Linked DNA regions of Arabidopsis thaliana. The protein of the gene in region 3 interacts with the protein of the main gene of each other region in a pairwise test. Each region holds a gene or a part of one and is shown on either strand. Other genes may lie near its edges. The genes, in order: SEC, PYL1, TOE2 and WRKY41.

The links.
Region 1: the proteins of TOE2 (region 3) and SEC interact in binary tests that used the Arabidopsis thaliana proteins (3 or more experiments, as listed by UniProt).
Region 2: the proteins of TOE2 (region 3) and PYL1 interact in binary tests that used the Arabidopsis thaliana proteins (3 or more experiments, as listed by UniProt).
Region 4: the proteins of TOE2 (region 3) and WRKY41 interact in binary tests that used the Arabidopsis thaliana proteins (3 or more experiments, as listed by UniProt).

The regions. Positions count from the first base shown.
Region 1 is NC_003074.8:1,114,885-1,122,469, forward strand, and holds the start of SEC (Tetratricopeptide repeat (TPR)-like superfamily protein), read right to left. Parts: upstream 6,050-7,585; 5' UTR 5,839-6,049; coding exon 5,688-5,838; intron 5,322-5,687; coding exon 5,176-5,321; intron 5,085-5,175; coding exon 4,986-5,084; intron 4,905-4,985; coding exon 4,854-4,904; intron 4,734-4,853; coding exon 4,617-4,733; intron 4,504-4,616; coding exon 4,447-4,503; intron 4,274-4,446; exon of another isoform or gene 4,042-4,273; coding exon 3,922-4,041; intron 3,806-3,921; coding exon 3,743-3,805; intron 3,650-3,742; coding exon 3,571-3,649; intron 3,469-3,570; coding exon 3,359-3,468; intron 3,265-3,358; coding exon 3,211-3,264; intron 3,139-3,210; coding exon 3,071-3,138; intron 2,994-3,070; coding exon 2,891-2,993; intron 2,799-2,890; coding exon 2,596-2,798; intron 2,201-2,595; coding exon 2,104-2,200; intron 1,994-2,103; coding exon 1,922-1,993; intron 1,835-1,921; coding exon 1,758-1,834; intron 1,659-1,757; coding exon 1,457-1,658; intron 1,188-1,456; coding exon 1,020-1,187; and 10 more. Other genes in the region: AT3G04250 (F-box associated ubiquitination effector family protein), read left to right, coding at 7,066-7,585.
Region 2 is NC_003076.8:18,983,022-18,986,499, forward strand, and holds PYL1 (PYR1-like 1), read right to left. Parts: upstream 1,897-3,478; 5' UTR 1,708-1,896; coding exon 1,042-1,707; 3' UTR 519-1,041; downstream 1-518. UniProt on the Arabidopsis thaliana protein: Receptor for abscisic acid (ABA) required for ABA-mediated responses such as stomatal closure and germination inhibition. Inhibits the activity of group-A protein phosphatases type 2C (PP2Cs) when activated by ABA. Can be activated by both (-)-ABA and (+)-ABA.
Region 3 is NC_003076.8:24,205,953-24,212,283, reverse strand, and holds TOE2 (target of early activation tagged (EAT) 2), read right to left. Parts: upstream 4,596-6,331; 5' UTR 4,132-4,595; coding exon 3,599-4,131; intron 3,462-3,598; coding exon 3,436-3,461; intron 3,347-3,435; coding exon 3,316-3,346; intron 3,211-3,315; coding exon 3,123-3,210; intron 3,050-3,122; coding exon 2,904-3,049; intron 2,531-2,903; coding exon 2,442-2,530; intron 2,314-2,441; coding exon 2,123-2,313; coding exon of another isoform or gene 2,000-2,122; exon of another isoform or gene 1,989-1,999; coding exon 1,875-1,988; intron 1,706-1,874; exon of another isoform or gene 1,523-1,705; coding exon 1,217-1,522; 3' UTR 1,190-1,216; exon of another isoform or gene 823-1,189; 3' UTR 541-822; downstream 1-540. Other genes in the region: AT5G60130 (AP2/B3-like transcriptional factor family protein), read left to right, coding at 1-68, 153-413.
Region 4 is NC_003075.7:6,757,365-6,761,327, reverse strand, and holds WRKY41 (WRKY family transcription factor), read right to left. Parts: upstream 2,231-3,963; 5' UTR 2,026-2,230; coding exon 1,673-2,025; intron 1,532-1,672; coding exon 1,403-1,531; intron 1,051-1,402; exon of another isoform or gene 1,025-1,050; coding exon 565-1,024; 3' UTR 534-564; downstream 1-533. Other genes in the region: 3xHMG-box1 (HMG (high mobility group) box protein), read left to right, coding at 1-66, 143-227, 323-430. UniProt on the Arabidopsis thaliana protein: Transcription factor. Interacts specifically with the W box (5'-(T)TGAC[CT]-3'), a frequently occurring elicitor-responsive cis-acting element.

The DNA.
Region 1 (7,585 bases), on a different chromosome or scaffold from region 3:
ACTTCGCCTGATATGTTCACTCTTCATGGCAACATCAGTGAAGATAATTTGATCAGGCTGTACACCTTGGGCAGCAGCATCTGGATATAAGGTCAAAAAAATAAGGTTATAAACGATAGAGAAAGCAGAAAGAACAAGGAAATGCTAGGCGATTGAATGGAACCAAACGTACATGTGCGAAACCTCATCTCTCCGGCTGCTGGAAAACGGAGAAGCCAAAGAGCACTGTTGGGTACTCGTTTAAGAATGTTGCACCTATAAAAAAATAAAAACAAATCAGTTTGTGCATGTATAAATTTACATCTATACAGAGTGTTATTTATGGTATCATGATGGTGTAAGGTGTCATACGTAAATTTCCAAACAAACTTGCAAAGCTAAGGAAAAACGTTTACCAAGTATTAACGATCTCAGGATCCATTTTGTACAGTTGGTTGAAGCATGCAAATATGAATTTGTCTTCAGGAAGTCCATAGTCTGATCGCTTGGGCTTCGAATTTGGATCCAACACATCCTGATTTTTCTGCAAACAGCATTTATACGATGAGTTTTATAAAAATAACTGTGGACCTGATGAATGTACAATAACATGGTAAAGAAAACTTTCTCGGAGCATACCTGCTTGTAATCATTGACAAAGTAGCAATGGGGAAGGTGGACCAGCTTCTCTGAGTAAATATGTGCATATTGCAGAGGAGACACGAACTGAAAAGTAAAAGAGAGTAACCAGTCATGACATAGAGAAAAAATAAGGTTGGAAAAAAAAAATGTTCTGAAGATATCTAGAAAACTATAATTCAATTGCAAACCTCATCAGTCACTAGATAGTCAATATAGGTTGCTCCAGTGGTACCCGGGAAGCCCATATATGAAACCTGGATCGGAGCAGGCTGCATGGCAAATATTTCATTTCTAGCCCCCTGCATAGGTTAAACCAAACAATGTTAGCAAAAACATTTCCATAGGAATGGGTACAGCTCCAGAGTAAAAAGTTTCTGAAATGTTCAGAGCATGCATGCCTTGGTATAACCGTTTAGATTGATGAGGATCTGGATTTTGTCTTGGTTTATAATTTTGGCGATAGCATCAGATGACATAGCAGAAACGTCCAGGAAATGCTCGGCTTCTGACTGGATTCGCTGTCTCCACTCAGTATTATCATTTGCACTCAGAGCATAGCAGAAAACCTGGGAAAAAATGTGATTTACTTTGCTGAAAAGCCAAAAACAGGATAGGCAGATACAGAATGATATACCATCAATTACTAAAGTTCTATATTCCACACACAGGACCCGTACGGTTCCATACATTCCTACCATCATAAGAACTAAACCCAGCATGTACGAATTTTATAGCCTCACTAGAAAACACTGGGTTGAAGAACTCAAACTCTCGATATAAAATCAGAGCAGACCTAAGAAATGGATCAACAAGTATCCAAGTGCAGGATACAAACCTCAACGTTTTCTCTGTTGTGCATCCCAAACACTGATCCCATGAGGTGTGACAACGGATGGTTACCAAAATCACTGCTCACGTATCCAATCCTTAATCTCTTAAATCCTCCCTCACGTTTTACAGGGAGCCCAGCTGGATGGGTAAAAGGAGGTAGTCCAAAACGAGAAGCGATTATGGAGCAGTGTGCAGCGTATTTACGACTGAAAAAATAGGGGATTTATAAGAAATAGGCATATACATAAAGATAATATAAACATGTATTTTCATGAGTATTGAGTATTAAAAAATCAGCCTCAAACCTGATTTCAAGGGCAAGAATAGGGTCAATAGGATATGCTATTGCATGGAAGGGCTGGACACTTGGAAGGACCGACATCTGAAGATAGGATCAATAGGATATGCTATCACCTTAATCTGTAATAGTATATAAGTACCACAAATTTTGTGTGGCGTAAATACTTACATTTATTTGCCTCCTAATAATGCTTTCAACTTCAGCGAACATTTTGCTACGGTCCTCCCAACAGCATACACACTGGTTCAGCAGCAGGAAAGAAAAAATGGAGACGAAGGGAGAATTAACAAGTAGAGAAGAAAGAAGCTATCATAACAGACGTGTGACATCAAACCAGGAAAAATAAATACCTGTAAGGTGTGTAGAAGGTTGCACGTTGCTTCTGGGAAGTCTGGTCGTAGAAGCAAGGCCTGCTTATAGCTCGTAATGGCAGCTTCTACATGCCCACTGCTTATGCAAGAAGGTGCAACAAATACATTAATAGTAGAACAAATATTTTTCTGGTCAAACATACTAACTCCTCAGTTAAAAGGTGGTCATTAACTCATTGTTATACTGCCACATCTTAAATGTTCTAAATCCCAGAAAACAAGAGCCTAACACGAAACCACCTTAAGAACTGTACGTAGAGATATAAAGGCTTCTAGTGAAGTAGGAAAATTGTAAGTAATTTTAAGATATATGACACCATAAGCTATTCAAGAACCATGAAATACACAAAATTCTTCTCGAGTCAGATCTTTTCGTTCAAGGTAAAGATGTTTTGGCTCTGTTCTTAGCTAAGCGGTATTTGAACATGTGTCTGGTATACCTAATAAATGAAAGATAAAGACAATGGTTACCTATCCTTGTAAGCTGAGGCCAGGTTTGCGTGAGCTTCAGCCATTGTAGGCCGGAAGTTTATAGCATGCATGTAATCCTGAATTGCTTCAGTTACCCTCCCGATCTCTTTGTAAGTATTCCCTCTATTAACCAGAGCGTCAGCTGCCAATGGGTCAATACGAAGAACCTCATTATAGCAGGATATAGCATCCGAGTAATTTCCCTGTAGTAAAGGAGAAGAAAACAAGCTAAATTTGTCAAACATGAGCAAGACTACAAAAATGATTAAAAATTGATAATGGAGCACGTAGCTACCTGTTGCTTGTAAATTATAGCAAGGTTATTGAACGGAGCAGATAGCCCTGTAGTTACAGCCAGAGTAGCCTTGAATAATGAGGAAGCAGGACCCATCATATTCCTGTTTCAAGTTGTGAAATGGATTTTATGGTCATTTAGTCTTTTCTATCTAGCAAAAAGAAAGAAAGGATCACATACCACTCCATATAAATGTTTCCAAGATTAGCCATGGCTTGTGGATGATTTGGTTGTAAAGCAAGACATTGCTGCAGTATAACCACAGGTTTGTGAGTAATACGCAAATTCACTAGTAAGTCTCAGATGGAAAACACACATACATTATAACACCGAACTGCTTCATCAACTCGCCCAATATCCTTCAATGCATTACCCTTCAAGTTCCAAATGCAAAAAATATCATATGTTAGATACTGAGAATTATAGTTCAGACACAAAACCCACAAAATGTGTGTTGTTGATGCTAACCAAGTTATTGTAAGCCTCCAAAAATCGTGGATCCCGGGAGAGAGCCTGCTTGTAGTGTCGAATTGCTAAATCTAGTTGACCTTGCTCATAGTATATACTGGCTATATTCCCTGCATTTAGTAGTTATATGTCAATTATGAAAGACGTCACGCATTTACTTGGCAAGTATATTTTATTTCAGCTGAGCATTTAGTTGATCAAATTACACTCACCAAATGCCATTGCAGAATTTGGCCGCATCTGTAAGGCATGCTGATAACACATGATCGCTTCAGTAGGTCTCCCGAGGGCCTTAAGACATAGAAATATAAAATTTTGTTACTACTATTGTCCAGAAAACATTATTGCACTGAACATATCTTAACACACTATACGTAGACATACCTTATACACGTTTCCTAAATTTAAATATGCATCAGGGAATGCAGGTTTCAACTTCACAGCTTCCTGGTAAATTAAGAAAATCAGCCAACATAGTTAAAACATAAAGAATTTAATCTGGGGGACAAACGCACACATAACACAATGTCAACAGGATCTTTCTAGGAGAGAATGAAGCATACCTTGTAGTATTGAAGGGCTCTGTTGAGATCACCTGACTCCATGAAAAGACCAGCAAGATTCGACCATGCAATAGCAAATGTTGGTTGTATACGAACAGCTTCAAGGTAACAACTGTATGCCTGCACAAAATATTACATTCTAACTATTTGGACTCTGGCAGTAGACACTGACTATAAGACTGACGATCATCCCTGCTTGCCTTTCAGTAACAACTTGATGTCTGTATTGATTGTGGATTATGACACAGTACAACACAGAAAAATGAATGCATCTATTAGTAATTGCAGTTGATAAACCAGTAAAATGACTACAGATGTGATGCTATATTCCTAGTGCATCACGTCACCGTCCATTTAATTATAATATATTTTGGTTCAATTAAAAGTTCTTCTGCAATGACAAAACTTTGATCAATCAATTGTAGAATTAGGGGCCGCATCCATAACTAGGACACAAGAAAATTGCAGATAATCGGGTTGGAACAGTAACAGAATAACTTAAATAGACTAATTCGAAAGACTTACTTCATGAATCAATCCTTGAGCCTTCATCAGATTCCCCAGATTACTATGTGCGTCAACCTAAGAACAGTTTACATTACCAGGTGAGAAGACTAACAAAAGAAGATAGACAGTGAATCTCCCAGCAGTAGTGAGACAGAAAACTTAAAAAGAAGGATCATAAAGTCAATTACCAGAAGTGGATTCAATGAGAGGGCCTGCTGACAGCATTGTGTTGCCTCACTGAGTCTTCCCTTTCGCATGTATGCACTTGCCAAGTTCGACCAAGCATCAGCAAAATTGGGCCTCAGCTGAAGAATTATATTGAAAAGAAAGTGTAAGCAAGGGGAAATGAAGAAAGGTAAAAGCATCAGTATAGGATGAGAAGTGAATAGCAGATATCGAGAAGCATAAATTGGATATAGCACAACCTCAATTGCAATTAAATAGTAGCGGATTGCACGATCAGTGTCCCCTTTTTCCTGGAAATAGCAGATTACAGATATAAGAATATATGTATTGGCAATAAAACCACCTGATCAGACAAAGACCAAGCCATTCACCTTCCACGCGTTTGCCATGTTTCCATAACACTCAGCAAACTGAGGTTGAATACGAAGAGCTTCTTCATTTCGAGCTATGCACATATCATACTCTTGAAGCTGCACGGTATATACCATACAAGTAAACAACTAATTAACCGAAAACAAGAGGATAGAGTAATGACTAATGAGATAAGGAGAAAAATAGTACCTGGTAATAAATAGCACCAATTAGAAGAAGATTATCAGTGCGTAATGGGTTTCTCTGGTAAACCATGTTGCTGTGCTCCAGGGCTTGTTTGAAATCGCCTCCTTTGTATAGCTGATGAGCAAGAGCCAGGCGTGCGTCATCATCACCTGCACGAAACGCTTACAGTAAACATCAGCACAATCATTACCAGTCACATTCTCCCAAAAGAAGTTAGCTTTTTTATCCTAAAACGAACAAACCAAATAACAAAGCTAAAAACTTTGCTCGCCCAAAAGTAGAATTCCCAAAAGTCAAGTAGCAGTTAGTAGCAAGTTTGATTTCACCAAATCTAATGATCTTTGAATTGTAACATAACAATTATACCTAGAAAAGGAAAATTAGATCGCACAACCTAGTGTTCTTAGTAAAACAGATGGAAACTAACTTCCACAAGGATCAGCTGTGAAGATGCGATTACACAAAGAAGGGACATCGAAAAAAAACAAAAATTTAAGCTCGTGACAAATCAGAACCTTCATGAGTCTTATTGAACTGCTGGAGGAGGCTCGAAGAAGACGAAGAAGAGACAGACAAATCAAGCTTTCTAGAGAAGACTTCATCAACTCGATCGGAAAGAAAGACAGGTCGGGAGATCATGGCAGCTCCGTTTTTGGACGAGATCATCGCGTCTTAATGAAATTGAACACCAAATTCCCCCAGATCACAAGTCTCCGGGACTTGGCCGGAGAATCAAAACACCGATGATAACGCAAGAGAGAAGAAAAGGGCAAAACCCTAAATTATCAAAATTCGTTTTTTCCGACCTCAGAAGCTGTAGCTTCGTCTTTCCTCTTTAGCTTTTATTTGCCTTTTTTTCAATTTCCTCTTTCCGACCAATCAAGATTTCACACATATAATTAGACTTAATATTTGACACGTGTAAATTTCAACGCCGTTGATTTTACGTATCGGGGTCAAAGAGTCAACAAAAATCTGGACAAAACCAAATTCTTTTGTCTTTAGTTAACACGTGTCTAAGACGCAACAGTGTTTTCTTCTCAAAGGTTGTAATTTACAATCCACCCAAAAACAATCTTTAATCTTTCCCAAATAGTGCCGCAAAGGCATTAAATGTGCCAACAATAAAACGTAATCCTGATTAATTACCTTAAATATATTGAGAAAAGAAAATAACAAAAAATTTACAATATCTTCCTCTCTTTGTCTACTCCAATATATTTTCTTTAAATACAAAAAAATTGCATACTAAATCGAATTCAAGGGTATCACAATTCTAATCTTATTTGAACTTAACTGCATGTTTACTTGATCTTCTTTTTCTAGAAGTAAATATTAAATGTCACAAAAATGAAAACAATTCACATTTGATTTTAATTAAAGATGGACGCGTGTTTTGGCAGCTTCCACTTATCAAATGTTTCAATTAAAGATGGAATTTAAGATACTGTTTTAAATTCCAATAAGCCCATAGTTAGCCCAGCTTCATACAAACTTGATGCTCTCCCCATACAAATGGTCATTGTTGGTAAAGAACTTGGATGTTATGAATGTGATTACCAAAAAGAAAACAAGAGAAGATTCTGAAGCCCACGATTGGGCCCAACTTCAAATTCCTATGTATAGTCTTCTGCGGGAAAAAAATCAGAGGAAAAGAAGAACACTTTTTTAAGGTTAAAAAAAAAAAAACCTTGTTGCAACTTGAGAAAACGACAACGATGATCTTAAATCTTCCAAGGGATTTGATAGAGGATATTGTATCTAGACTTCCCATGAAGTATATGAGGACATTGAAATTAACTTGCAAAACGTTGTACGCTTTATCCCAAAGTCAGAGCTTTATGAAGCTGCACATTAGTAAAGAAGCAGCACCGCGTAGAACAGGATATGGACATGTACAGGTACGCTCTAGGGTACGTGAACAAGAACAACTCTTGTCGTAGCCACAAAGTCTTGAGGTTTATAGATCATTACATCTCTTCGGCCGTGAACCACGCACCCGAAAACCGGTTTTCATGGTATGAAATCTACGATATTGAAACCGATTTATGGACAACTCTTGATGTCCCTCCATATTGGATAGTATCGTGTTATCAGCGTGGTGTTTCTCTCAAGGGAAATACCTACTTTTGTGCTACAAAAAGTAACGCAATAAACAAAATCGACGATCACATAATCTGTTTTGATTTCACAAGTGAGAGATTTGGGCCACTTTTGCGTCTACCGTTTAGCGCTGGCCATGATGACTATGTGACTTTATCTTGTGTTAGAGAAGAGAAGCTTGCGGCTTTACTTACGCACAACGACTGGAATCCATATGAGTTTGAGATATGGATCACGACTAAGATCGAGTATGATAAAGTGTCGTGGAGCAAGATCTTGGAAATGGATACAGGACCATTGGCTGACATGC
Region 2 (3,478 bases), 5.2 Mb from region 3:
ATAATCGGGAAAAAGAAATCGAGTACAGTTTATTTTTGTTGGTCAGGCACTTAGCCACTCAGGCTCATCAGACAAAGCGATGACCATAACATAATTATAATTAGGTGTATTGACAAAAAAAAAAAGAAAAAAAAAGGAGGATCATAATTAGATGTAAAAAATGGTGAGCTCTCTCCAAATTTTAAAATGAAAAATAAAAGAGTTCAAATTATAATGGGCTTTTTCGTCGTTCAAAGCCCTTTCCCCTTCAACAGTAATTAGTTTTTGAACGTAATAATGTTACTGGAGCGCGAAAACTTAAGCAAAATTAGCACAAAAATACAAAAATTAAATTTTACAACGAAATTGTAAATAAAAAAATAAAAAAAATTATTGAACAAAAAAAAAACTAATGCAACGGTTTTTTTTTTTAGGTTTTTTTTTTTGTCATTAACGCTAGAAAACAAATAATTTTGCGAATTTACGAATTGCCAAAATTGACTTATAAATACTGCCAATTTTCAGACATTAAGCTTTTATTCGTTTTATTATGAAAAGTTACTACACACAACACTATATTAAAACATACGCTATAAATAAATATGTATCGAAGAACAAAAAAAATATCATTATTTTTCCATCTGACCTAGAAATCTATTCCATGCATATATCATTTCAAATACAAAAATTGAATAAAACAAGAATACTAATAACCTACAAAATAGTACAATCTACACAACAGTTAAAGAAAACTAACTACTATAATTAGTATGTTATCATTCCTGTATAATTTATCTTGTCAACCAATTGAATAAACGAACTACTATAATTAGTATGTTATCATTCCTAATTCTATGATATAACAAGTATGTTATTAAATTTAACCTATCTCGACCATTCCAATTATCCAGGAGACTGATTTTTTTTAAAAAATAAAACATAACCATAAAATCAAACAAGGAAATTACAATTCAAGAGAAGAAAAAAAACGTTTTACAAATCAAAATAAAAATTAAAACTCCCCCAATTTAGAAACATTTTTCTTTCCCCCAAATTTCATCATTACCTAACCTGAGAAGAGTTGTTGTTGTTGTTGTTCCGGTTCATAGCTTCAGTGATCGAAGCAAGTTTCTGAAGATTCAATCTAATAACCGTATCAGCAAACAATCTCGTATCTTCCTCCGAATTACCTTCCGGTACATCAACAACATAAGATTCCAAAACAACGGTCCAGATCCTTTCTTCTTCTTCTTCTTTCTCAAATCTATGAACCGTCGTAACCGATTTATAATTCCTCAGCCTATGTTCACCACCGGTTATACTAAACCCAGTCACTCTCCGATCATCGTCCAACAGATCTAATCTCTCTCGAGACGTATTCGCCGGTAATCCACTTATCACGTTCACGTCGCGCGTGCATCCCACTCGCATCTCGAAATCTTCACTCACGTTACAGCTTTTGATGAAGTGTTTGTAAATCTGTGGCCTATCGAAACGTCTCACCACGGACCATACTGTTTCCGGCGGCGCGTGGATTCGCTGAGCTAGGAGAGATGAGCAACGGCCGTTACCGAGTTGGTACGTGTGGAACTCGGCGATTGATTGGGAGAGTTGGGTGAATTCGTCTTGAGTTAAATCGGAAGGCATGGTTTGGTGATGGAGTGTTGAGATTCTCTGGCTGTTCTCTTCTTCGTTTACTGGTGAGGAGGAGGACTCTGAATTCGCCATTGATATTGTTTGTTGAAACTTGAAAGAGAGAAGTTGAAAATTTGAAGGAAGAAGAAAGAGAAGAAGGGTATATTTGGAATTTAATAGACTTGAGTTTTTTTTAATGGCTATCACATAAATGTCATTAGGCACTGAATCTTTCTACTTTTAGTTGATAATTACTATATTTGTAGACACGTACATCAAAATTAGTAACTATTACAAATTTACGTAATATTTTTGTAGATTCTAAAATAATACTACAAAAAAAATATATATCCGTTCATTATAATAGATGGAATTATTTTGCTGAATTCGAAAAATCTGATTTAATTTAATGAACAATAACACACAGTTTAGTTAGACTTATCATATTATTCATCCATCTATATTCTGATTGAAATGTATAAACTATATAGTTAAAATTATATATATATGATACTAATTAAAAATATCTTGAACGAGTTAAACTATATAGTTAAAATTAGAATAACTCATTTTATCATATTCTTCATGAATTCCTACTATTTTATATTAATCATCACTTTGGTAAATATATTACAAATGAAATTGGTCAACTCGTAATAGAAATGCAATTAAATTATAAAATAAAAAATTATTTACGGGAGTTGAATTATTTTTTTGTTGGCAACCGTAGAAATTTTGATTAGATGCTCAAATATAGAATCATTATTTATTCGAATGCATTTAAAGGTTAGCCATTAGCCTTTGTTCGTGAAGCTATTATAAGCCTATACCTATATTACTTATCTTAATCTATAACTCCCAATTTCTCTCGAAACTAAATAATTGTAAAGATTAAAACAATTTTCAGTTACATAAAAAAAATATACTTGTAAAGATTAAAACATTTTACTTGTACTAGAGAATTTTTATCAAGTGATAATTAAATGTGAGCAACTGAGCATGAAGCCTCCGTGTCATATACTTACTAGTTTTGGCCATGTTTATTTATCTGCAACCGAAATGGGCAAATTACTTTTTTCTCTTATCACCTTGACTTTTGTTTTTTCTATTAAAATTATTTTTAATATTATGGCTGTGAATGGTGACTGCGTTTTGCGGTACGCAAAAAGTGCGGTGCGGTTCAAATAGTAATGAAAATCAGCACTGTTGCGATACGGTTTTAAGTGCGGTTTTGGTCACCATTCACAGCCTATAAATCATTATACTTTTGTCCAAAAAAAAATATAAAAAATCATTACAGTAAATAGTTTATTTTTTGTTACAAAGATATAATTGGGTACGTAAGAAGTAGAATCCAAGAGATACGGTAGGTACAAGTTATAAATCATAAAAAGTAGTCTCCAGCTGTTTTTTTTGGCGTCTTGTAGACATTTAATTTTTATGTCAAGTATATACTTGCACATTGCACTTGTATATCAAATTTGATGATTATAACAATGATTTAGTTAAATATCCAGAGTGTAAAATTATATTGCTAAACACTATACCTAAACGATTTTTCTATAAAATTTTATCATTACGCTAAATTAATTTTTTCAAAATTTTAAATGAAAAGGACAATAGTGCTCTCAAACTGGTATGATTAAATTTTCCTAAAGTTAAAGTTAGAAAATAATTAATATATTTATGAATAGATAGATTGCTATATATATTCTTTAGCATTATAGAGATAATAAAAGTATCAAAAAGTCCATTTGGTGGAATAATATTGATTCTGATCATTGCGAATTTTTTTATTCTAAAAGGCTTGAAAGAATTTTCAAATATAATATTTTCAAGAATCCACTCACCATGTTATAATGGA
Region 3 (6,331 bases):
AGTATCTGGATGATCGTGAGAACCCATCTTTTACTCTGATCCTTAATCCGAAGAAGAAAAGCCAACTGGTAAGTAAAAACTGAATGTGAAAGAGCTTTTCATTTAACATCGTTGGGTTGTGAGTTTTTATGATGTTTTTTTTCATAAAGCAGCTCATCCCAGCTCGGGTTATCAAAGACTATGACTTGCACTTCCCTGAGAGTATCACTCTTGTCGATCCACTTGTGAAAAAATTCGGGACATTGGAGAAGCAGATCAAGATTCAGACAAATGGTAGTGTGTTTGTCAAGGGATTTGGCAGTATCATCAGAAGGAATAAAGTGAAGACAACGGATAAGATGATATTTGAGATCAAGAAGACTGGTGATAATAACCTGGTTCAAACAATCAAGATTCACATTATCAGTGGATGATTATTTATATCTCTCTCTCTCTCTCTCTCTCTCCATCTCTCTGTCTTTAGTTACGTGTTTTGGAGTTAAATCAAGATTATTGTGGTGTATTGAATTAATGTAAGAGTTTTTAATTTCTAAAACTTATCAGATCTATACAAATTTATAGTCTCTCAAGTCTCAATAGCTTTCTTCATTCATACATATAGAATGCATTGTACTTTACGCTGTTCATATTAATATCAGAGACATTATAGTAAAATGGCAAATGGGTTTGGGTTCTGTTTTGGTATTATCCCTCAGTTTATGTTACAAATCAAAAGCAGAAAGATAAATCACACAATGACAATAAGTACAACAGATCTTGGGAGAATTCAGCGTCGTTTTGGCTGGCCTTCCAACTTATTCCAACCTCAGGGCTGTGTAGAACCTGCACGTTCACATACAAAGTATGTTATTACGTGTAGTATTGTAGGATCTTAGGAAAACTATTGCCTCAAATATGTGTTTGAGATTGACAGAGAAGCAGAAAACAGGAGGGTGATAATACTACACAACTTGGAACTCTTCCTTAGTCTTCTTCTATTCGCTAAGCATTCATCATACTTTTCATGTTTCCATCAAGATTCATATGAATACAAACATCTCAAACTCTTTTTCTTTAGTGGTCTTCTATCAAAATTTTTTTTTTTTTTCTTTTGGATTGTAAACGTAACGTATAACAGGAAGAGGAAACTACAGCTTGTGTGCTGAGCCAAACGATGAGTTGAATGTTGTTGTTTCCAAGAAAGTCTTACCTTGAGTTATGCGGAGGAAGGAGGAAGCTATGGTGGTGGTTGTGGGCGGTTCATGAGATTGTGTTGGTGCTGAGATATGTAATCAGATGGGTGGATAACATAGAGACCGGGCTGATTCAGATTGACGAAGGGCTGAGAAGGATGATGAATAGCTGTGGATGAAGGAGGGCGTGTAGCTGAGAGTGAGAATCCTGATGATGCTGCATTTGAAAACAGTGGCGGTGCTGTAGCTGCTACGGCGGTCCCACCACTGGACTGATCATGCCCTTGCCATGTCCTGGCTGGGAAGCTTTGATGAGAACGTAACATAAGCCCTTTCTCTGGTGTTCTTTCCTGGAGACAAGAATTTAACTTTTAGGACAGAAGATTATTCATTCAAATCTTCAAGAATATCACAACATAGAAGAAGAACTAACAAGCAACAACATAGACCTGTTCTCAAAGGATATCAAAGAGTTGAGCTCAAGTACTTAACTGATCAAATATCACAACAGTAACCACTTGATGAACATCTAGCTGAATTTCATATCACACAAATTACTCATAGGTAGGGTAAAGTTCGATAAATTTAAAATTGTCATTCTATTTCATATTGTATGTTAGTTCTGGACAGAAGGTAAAAATTGTGAGGCAGTGACAAACAGTTGGATATAACGAGATGTGTGCTATGGTATTTACTATTTACCATGGGTGAAAAGAACGCAGAAGGAAGGGCATGCCGGTTATTAAGATGGTCTGAACCCCTCTTCAAGAAATTGAAAGGCGTATCACATGCCGCTGCAGCCATGTGGTTCTCCATCTGTGAGTATATCAAATGAAGAGCAAGAAATTCATGAATAAATGAAAAAACATGAGGGCTCGAGCTAGCAAAGGAGACAGTATCTTTGAGTTCCAGATTGCTATGACATATCGACAAAGAAACATTTGACTAACAGTTGCAGCAAAACGCATATGAAAGTAAAGTAAATCATATTTGGTGCACTGAAGAAAAAATTGCACCATGGTGTTCCTTCCACATACGGAATTGTTAGGGACATGGTGAAGCCGGAGGGCCCTATCTTTTTGCTTCGGACCATCTCCTAGTGAAAGAGAGATTCCCAAGTTGAGGTCGAGCTTAACATTAGCTAAATAATAAGATCAGGAAAACAAGTTAGTCGTAGCTTTTCAAATATTGAGCAGAGATATCAATGATGACAGCAAAAGCTGCATAGCATCGACCAGTTTAACAAGCAAGGAACATCAATTACATTACCTGCCTCGGGAATCATTCGGGATGCATGAGGCTCAATTAAGGAAGCAGCTTCCCTTCCCTTCCATTGTACGGCTGCCTTGTCACAACCCCTAATTCCATAAGAATCTGAGCAATTAGTCATGAATTTTCCTAATAGATCAATAATTCAGGATAAAAGACTTCCTCATAATGTAATTTACAACCATCACTAGCGTACAGCTCATACTCAGATGACAATCATCCCAAGATAGATATAAATGTCTCATAGCCATCAAAATCTCTATATATAACTCATAATCACAAACGGGTCTTCCTGCTAATGGTTCTAACAGAAGCCCTTTTCAACTAACGAAAAATTACCAAACTCTTCATCTGAACCACTCCACTCTTTTTAGCAATGACTGACAACCACATTCAGACAAAAACACAAATAACATAGCATTTGTAAAAGCCCATACTTAGATCCCAGGAAAAGTTAATTACATGTTTCCATGAAGCTGCTCCATTTGAGCTCCCCACCCGCCAATCTTTTGCAAAGCAACTCCTTGATATCTAGAATTATTCCTTGAGAAACCAGAGCTCTGTCGCCGAAGTACTTGCACAACTTCCTCTTTGGAAAGATTCGCCATCTGTAAAGTTTGAAAACCAGATAAGAACAAATCAAAGCGTACATGTCTTCATTTGTACATCTGTAATCAAAACCTGCTTGAGATCCTCTTCATAATCGCCAATAACGAAATTGATGTCAGCTTCCAGACCCCGGAATTTGACAGCAGCTCGATCATACGCCCTACACCAACGAAAGTTGAACTTAGGAAACAATTGTATCATAACGAAAAAACAGTTGAGTGATCAATAAGATCAAACAAAAAAATATCATTTCCAAAGGCATTACCTAGCTGCAGCATGGGCAGTATCAAATCCACCTATTGAATTCAAAAGTTAAAGCTTTTATTAGAGAACTAAGATCCCAGCAGAAATCAGTTCACAGTAGTACAGCCATTAGAATCCATACCTAAATAAACTTGTTTACCGCAATCCCTGCAACCATGAAAATTGACAAAAAAGAAACTTGTAGATTAATACAAAATCTAAACCAAGCTCTTCCATTTTCGACCAAAGATCAACAACTCATCTAAGACCTATCTAAAAGATAAATCAATCAGTAGTAGATATACCAGATATGCGATTCCCATCTGCCTGTCCTCCGATAGAAAGTGACGCCTCTATACTGAGAACTCTTAGACCTAGGACCTCTCCTGCTTTTCTTCACCGGCTGTGATGGTGGCTGCATCACCCGTGAAGCATCGCCACCACCGCTCCCGCTACCTATAAAGTCTCCACCTTGTTTCCCCCTCTGGAAGGAAATATCAACGGTGCTCCTTGAACTTTGAGCGCTCGAATCCATAAAGTTCATGCCTTTAGCAACAGGAAAAAACTCCTTAGTCATCATCACAGCACTTCTTTCATCATCATCTTCTTCTTCTTCTTCTCCTCCTCCTTTCAGTATCTCAAATTGAAACTTGACCGTTCGTGTAGAGCACAACTCATCTTCACCATCTATACAGCTAGAAGCTTCAGCATTAACAACAGAAGAGTTCGACGTCACCGATTCATCCATCTGATTCAAAGAAACCCCTTTAACAGTAATCGAATCTCGTTCGTTCTGAGTAGACTCGGTCGAGTCGACGTCGAGATTGAGATCCAGCATCAATCTCAAAAAAGTCAACAAAAAAGCAAACAAAACTCTGAGCTTTCACAACAACAACAAAAACTATTTCTTCAAGCTCTTACTTACACATTGATCAATAAATTCAACGATCGCCGTCGATTTGAAATAAACAGAGCTCATAAATCACATTACATAGGTGAAAATCAGCACGAGTATGGAGAAATCAAACGGAGATTTAGATTCTGAAATCAATCAAAAACACGACGGAGGAGGAGAAGGAATAATAACCAAAGAGAAAGAAGGAAAAAGCTCAATCACTAAGGAGAGAAATGAGATTGAGGAGACATGGAGATGAAGAGTTGAGTATTGGTCTATGGGGATTTGAAGAGACAAAATAGCTATCGCCGGACGAAAGAGATAATCGTCGGCGATTAGAGAAAATAAAAAGAGAACGGGGAATGATGATGGGACGTAAGCCTGTGGGTTAGTGGCAACAAAGGAACATTTTAACATTTATTTATTCCTTCCATCTTTCTCGGCAATTTGATACCGGTTTTGCCTGTTTCCGGTTTGAAGTAAAAACGTGCTACTTGTTTTTGTTTTATTAGCTTGGTTTAAATTTATGATTAGTGCTTTTACAGTTTTACTATGATAAATTTACGGTTTAAACTGTATGTGTTAAGCTTTTCTGTGATTTCTTTACCAAGATAAGTTATTAAATACAGTATTAGTACTAAATAGATCTGTTAAGGCCTAGGGACAATGAGGTGCATTTTGTTCATGGAATGAGGATTTAATGGATGTGTTCATCTTGGTTAAATCAATTTGAAGCGTGTTCTTCGAAACATTTTGTAAACACATCTGAAAATCATCAAATTTAATTGGGGTTTCACTTTTTATCCTTGAACAAACTCAACTAAAGTGATTTAGTAATTCAAATTTATAGAATGAATCAAACGAAATTCGTTTTTGTATCCTATATAGTATATCTTATTATTAATCTGCAAACAAAGATTGGTAAAGAAAAGCGAATCTACACTATTATATTCACAACTTTGAAGACACATAAAAACCAAAAAACACTTTGAAGTCACATATTCATAGCTTTGAAGACAAAGCATTTGTTTTCATTTAATGGCGGGTCCTATATTTGCAGCTACGTCCTCCTCACAAACAAAAATCTGTAAAGACTTAAAAGAGTGAGATAGAATAATATGACTTTTTATTGATTTATATGGATAACAAGTATCCAACCAACGTAACAAATGTGTCACATGTAAAAAAAAATGTGTCACATGTTAGAAAAAGGTGTAGAAGCTAGCTATAATCAACAATTACATGCATAAAGTAACAAAAGTTATATCATTTTAAGAAGTTGTTATTATTACAAAAACGAATGTGTATGGAAAATAGTTAAAGATGATGGGGAAAAAAATCACTAACATCAGGTTTGATAGCTTTAGTTTTTCTTACTGGACATAGTGATGAAATTTTGTTTTAATTTCTAAGGTTTTGACACATTAATTACTATTGAAATTGAATGATGTATGTTATCTTCGCCTTGTTTGTAGCCAAGTTTTAGTAAGGCCTTGAATGAGTGTGGTTTTTAAACTAGTTTTTGGTTTTAATTTTTTCTAAAATCTATTTTGTAGCCATTCAAGATTTTGAGAAAACAAGTTTTCCTAAAATATAGGAAATCTAGTTTTTGAGTGTTTTAACAATTTTTCAAAGAAAACCAAAATCTATGTTTTGGGAGTTTCTCTCTCAAAAACAATCGATCACATTTTTTATTTTATTTTTAGATTTGTTTTGTAAAAAAAATACTATCCATTAACATAAAAACCAAAATCTAAACAAATTACCATTCAAGTTTTTTAAGAAACTAAAATCTACACCAAAAACAAAAACCAAGAAAATCAAAAACTAAAAACCAAAAACCAAAATCCAAAATCCAAAAACCATTTTAAAAACTACAAACATTCATGGCCTAAATAAAAATGAAGCATGTGTTTCCTAGTTCCTACAATATCACATTGTAAAAATCTATCAAGGCTAGAGAAAATTATCTCTGCATCAACTGTGTCTCAATTTTCTTTTAGATTTTCATTGAATGAATAGCTATAAGTAGAAAAAAAACACATATCCGATCAAACGTTGATAACACAAACATATTGTATCAAATCTTATGGTATCTTGTATTCATTAGTATTGTCTAAATCTCTAAGACTACTACATAGCT
Region 4 (3,963 bases), on a different chromosome or scaffold from region 3:
GAAAAAGAACGAGAATGTTGATCCTAACAAACCCAAAAAGCCTACTTCTTCATACTTTCTCTTCTGGTATATACTTTAAAACCCTGAATCCACAAAACAATCAGATGCTAAACTGGTTTTATAATCTCAAATCTTTTTACAGCAAAGACGCAAGAAAGAGTGTGTTAGAAGAACATCCTGGGATCAACAACTCAACTGTTACTGCTCACATTTCATTGAAATGGATGGTATATTATAAATCATGAAACTCGAATCCAACGAGTAAGATTTTATCACTGTTAGTTGTGAAATTGAGTTGGTTTTGGTTACAATTTTGTTGTAGGAACTTGGTGAAGAGGAGAAACAAGTTTACAATAGCAAAGCTGCTGAGTTAATGGAAGCTTACAAGAAAGAAGTGGAAGAGTACAATAAGACCAAGACTTCGTCGTAGAGAAAGAAAAATTAGAGAATGTTCAAGTTTGCTCATATTGAACATCTCTACTTATGCAAAATGACTCTGCTACTTAAATCGCTAGGCGCTAATCGGGATTATATTAATCTCAAGAATATTCAATACTGTACTACTTAAATCGAATTGTGGAAAAAAGTGGGGAAGCCTGTGTTAATCTCAGCCGTTGGATCAAATTGAAAATTAACGTCGAAGATTGGAGAACTTCCTGTGGAAGTATTTGTTGAGATCAATCCAGTGAAATCCGACGGACCAGAACTTCCCACGTGGTGGTAAAACGTTCCACCACCGTTGATGGACTCGTAAGTGTATAACGGCGACGTGACGGGGAATGAGAAAGCTTCGCTTCCAAGTCCGCCGGTACGTACGGTAAGACTGGCCCTGAGATTCTGGTAATTTACTGCTACTGTGTGTTTTGGTTTGGTTTCTCGTTTCTCTGGAAGTGGGATCCCCTGTGAACAAGTGTGTGTTCCTCTGTATGTTACTTCGAAGATCGTTGGATCACCGTCCGATCTTTGGACTTGTTTCGTAGCCCAACAGTACTGTGTGTTACGAAATGTGCATCTGTAATAACTCCTGCAATAAAAACACAAATTAGTCCTAAATTAGTAAAACTAAAACTAATTTTTTCTTCTTCTTAAAGCCACGTAAATTTAGCCAAAAAAAACTATCTGATTATATACAAATCCGACCTTCATATAGCAAACTCGGATAATAATTTTAAATATCTAATTTATCTTGTATTATATTCAGAATTATTCATTACATATTCGATATTTAAATTATGCAAAATAGTTTTTAATATGAGAATACACTTTGAATAGTAATTTTAGGTATATATTACTCATATAATTATACTCAACATTTATCCGCTGCTATTAACCAATCTTTTAACAAATGTACTATTCGTAAACATGATGATTATGATGATGATGATAGAGTATGATGATGTACCTTGGGAATTTGGCGCCCAAAATGTCTTTCTGGCCATATTTTCTCCAGCTGAAGATATCGTCATGAGGTCCTTCTAAGCCTCTCTCTGGGCTAATTCTCACTTGCTCTGTCCACTTTGGCAACATCTTCCTGCAAATTTTCATTAATTGTCAAATCTCTAATTCAAAAAATCTGGCTATTTTTTTTGAATTCTAATATTATTATTATTATTATTAAATTTTAATAAGCTTTTCTCTTCTTTATAACGCTAATTTAAGTTCAAATTTTTACCTCTTTTTAGAACTTAAGTTGAATTCTTTCGATCTTACATTGAAAAACTCTTCGCTTCTCGGATTTCCGGTGATCGATGCTGGAGATCCTGGAACCTTTCCGGGATGAGCTAGGGGATCAGGCGCAAGCTCTATCGTTGGATTGTGTTGTGTGGTGGATCCGTTGAGCATCAAAATAGCTTTTTTGAAGGAAGAAACTATGTTATGTAAGAGATTCTCCTTTATCTCCGTCGTCAAATATGAAGAAGAAGCTGACAACGATGGAGAAGACGAACCCTGAAGCTGCTTGGCCGCTTTTAGTCCATGAATTAGCTCGTTTAGCAAACTCCTCCGCTCCCAATTCATCATTTCCATGTTACTTTTAGTGTCTTGAGTAAATTCGAAAGGCGGTAAAACCCCGGTTTACGGTGACCGGAAGAAATAGTTATGAATTTTTTGGAAAAACTTTTGACATTGAAGGTGAAGAGATGTGATAGCTTTTTAACTTTTTTATAGTAAGGTTTAGATTAAGAACATGTGATTGTGGTTTAGGAAAAAGATGTGAGATTTTTGGTATTTGAATGATGAGAATGTACTAAAACGAAGCGTGTTCTTTTGGAATTTAAAGGTTTTAAAAGATATGTTTGAAAATTTGACCAAGTGAGCAAACTATTAAACAAATAGGAAAAAGATTCAAAGTTGAGAAAGTCTTTGGTCTTCATTAAGAATATATCGTTTCAGAGTGTATAAGTGGTGGTGTTTACTATAGGTCAAATGCTGACCAAATCAACTTTGGGTTTATTTTAGTTTAACCAAGTTGATTAGTTATTTAAATCTAGTGGTTTACTAAATAATTATATTATTAGGATAGAAATAAACTGTACCTTTTCCAAGTATTAACTTTGTTAAGGTTCTTTTTCAATATCTATCTGCAAAATGTACTATTACATTGATTTCTATTTTGGTAGCAACAAACCATTTCTTGTATAACTTGTTATTCTATTGACGACAACCGTTTTTGTATCATTTATTTTGTTTGTGTTCAACATCTTCAGATAGTCTACCAGATTTAAATATGAAATATATAGCATAGCAGACTAGCAGTTATAGCACAAATATTAGATACCAAATCTCAATTATAAAATATAGTACAAAATCAGGATGAGCTAACTAAATAAGTTCAACTGTATTTTGACATTCTAATTAATTTCTAACATTTAAAGATGTAAACAAAATTCCATGATATCTTAGAAAGTTACAGTATGATTGTATGAAATGAACCATAAACTATTACAGAGAAAAGTGAGATGACACATACATTCATAATTCAATACAAGATCGTAAAAAAAGGTTTCTGCTGACCAAGTCCATCCATCGTCAAAGACTCAAAGTGTATCAAATTAAAAGAAGTTCCATCTGAAATTCCATATCTCATGATTGATCTGTAACTTTACTGCCATTAGTTGATTTTTTGTCTTAATGGACTTGGAAGATTAGTTTTTGCTATAACATATTGAAAGTATATCCGTTTTCATTACTAAGTCCACGTACCTACGTGTTGTGTAAAGTTAAATACGTTAATGTGACATTGTGATGCATTAGTGTATACTTAAACTATAAACAAATATTTAGAGTCTTAAAAATCTTATCTTATTATATAAAGTATGGTTTTCAAAGTTTCTAACTCATAGGATCGTGTCCACGTGTCAAGTCAAACGATCAGATGTTTACATGTGTCATTTAAAATTTAACTTTTTTATTCTCTTAAAAAAATAGAAAATCTTAAAAAGTAAACAAATTTACATATGCTAATTAAGTTACTAACTCATAGAATCGTGCCACGTGTCAAGTCAAACGATCAGATGTTTACATTTGTCATTCAAAATTTAATTTTTTTATTCTCTTAAAAAAAATAGAATCTTATTATATAAAAATTAAGATACAAAAATTTAACTTTTTTATTCTCTTAAATTCAGCATCTGCTATTTAGGCGGGTCTAAGATACAAAAATTAAGTTTTATCGATAGAAATTTGTATAATAATCAATATATTTTTCTTGATATTTAATTTAATAATTATTGGTTTAAACAAAATTTCAGTCTTATCCATTCTATTTTAATTATACACACTCAATCTTATGAATGATATTTGAATTCTAAAAAGTAACCGATCATCATTCTATATTTAATTTAATATCTAGAAAAGAAAAAGAAAAAATAAATTTATATCTTACACATTCAATTTTGTAATACAGTTTAACTATCTATGTCATCATAATAAACTCGATTTAAATTCTACACACTTCATATTGAA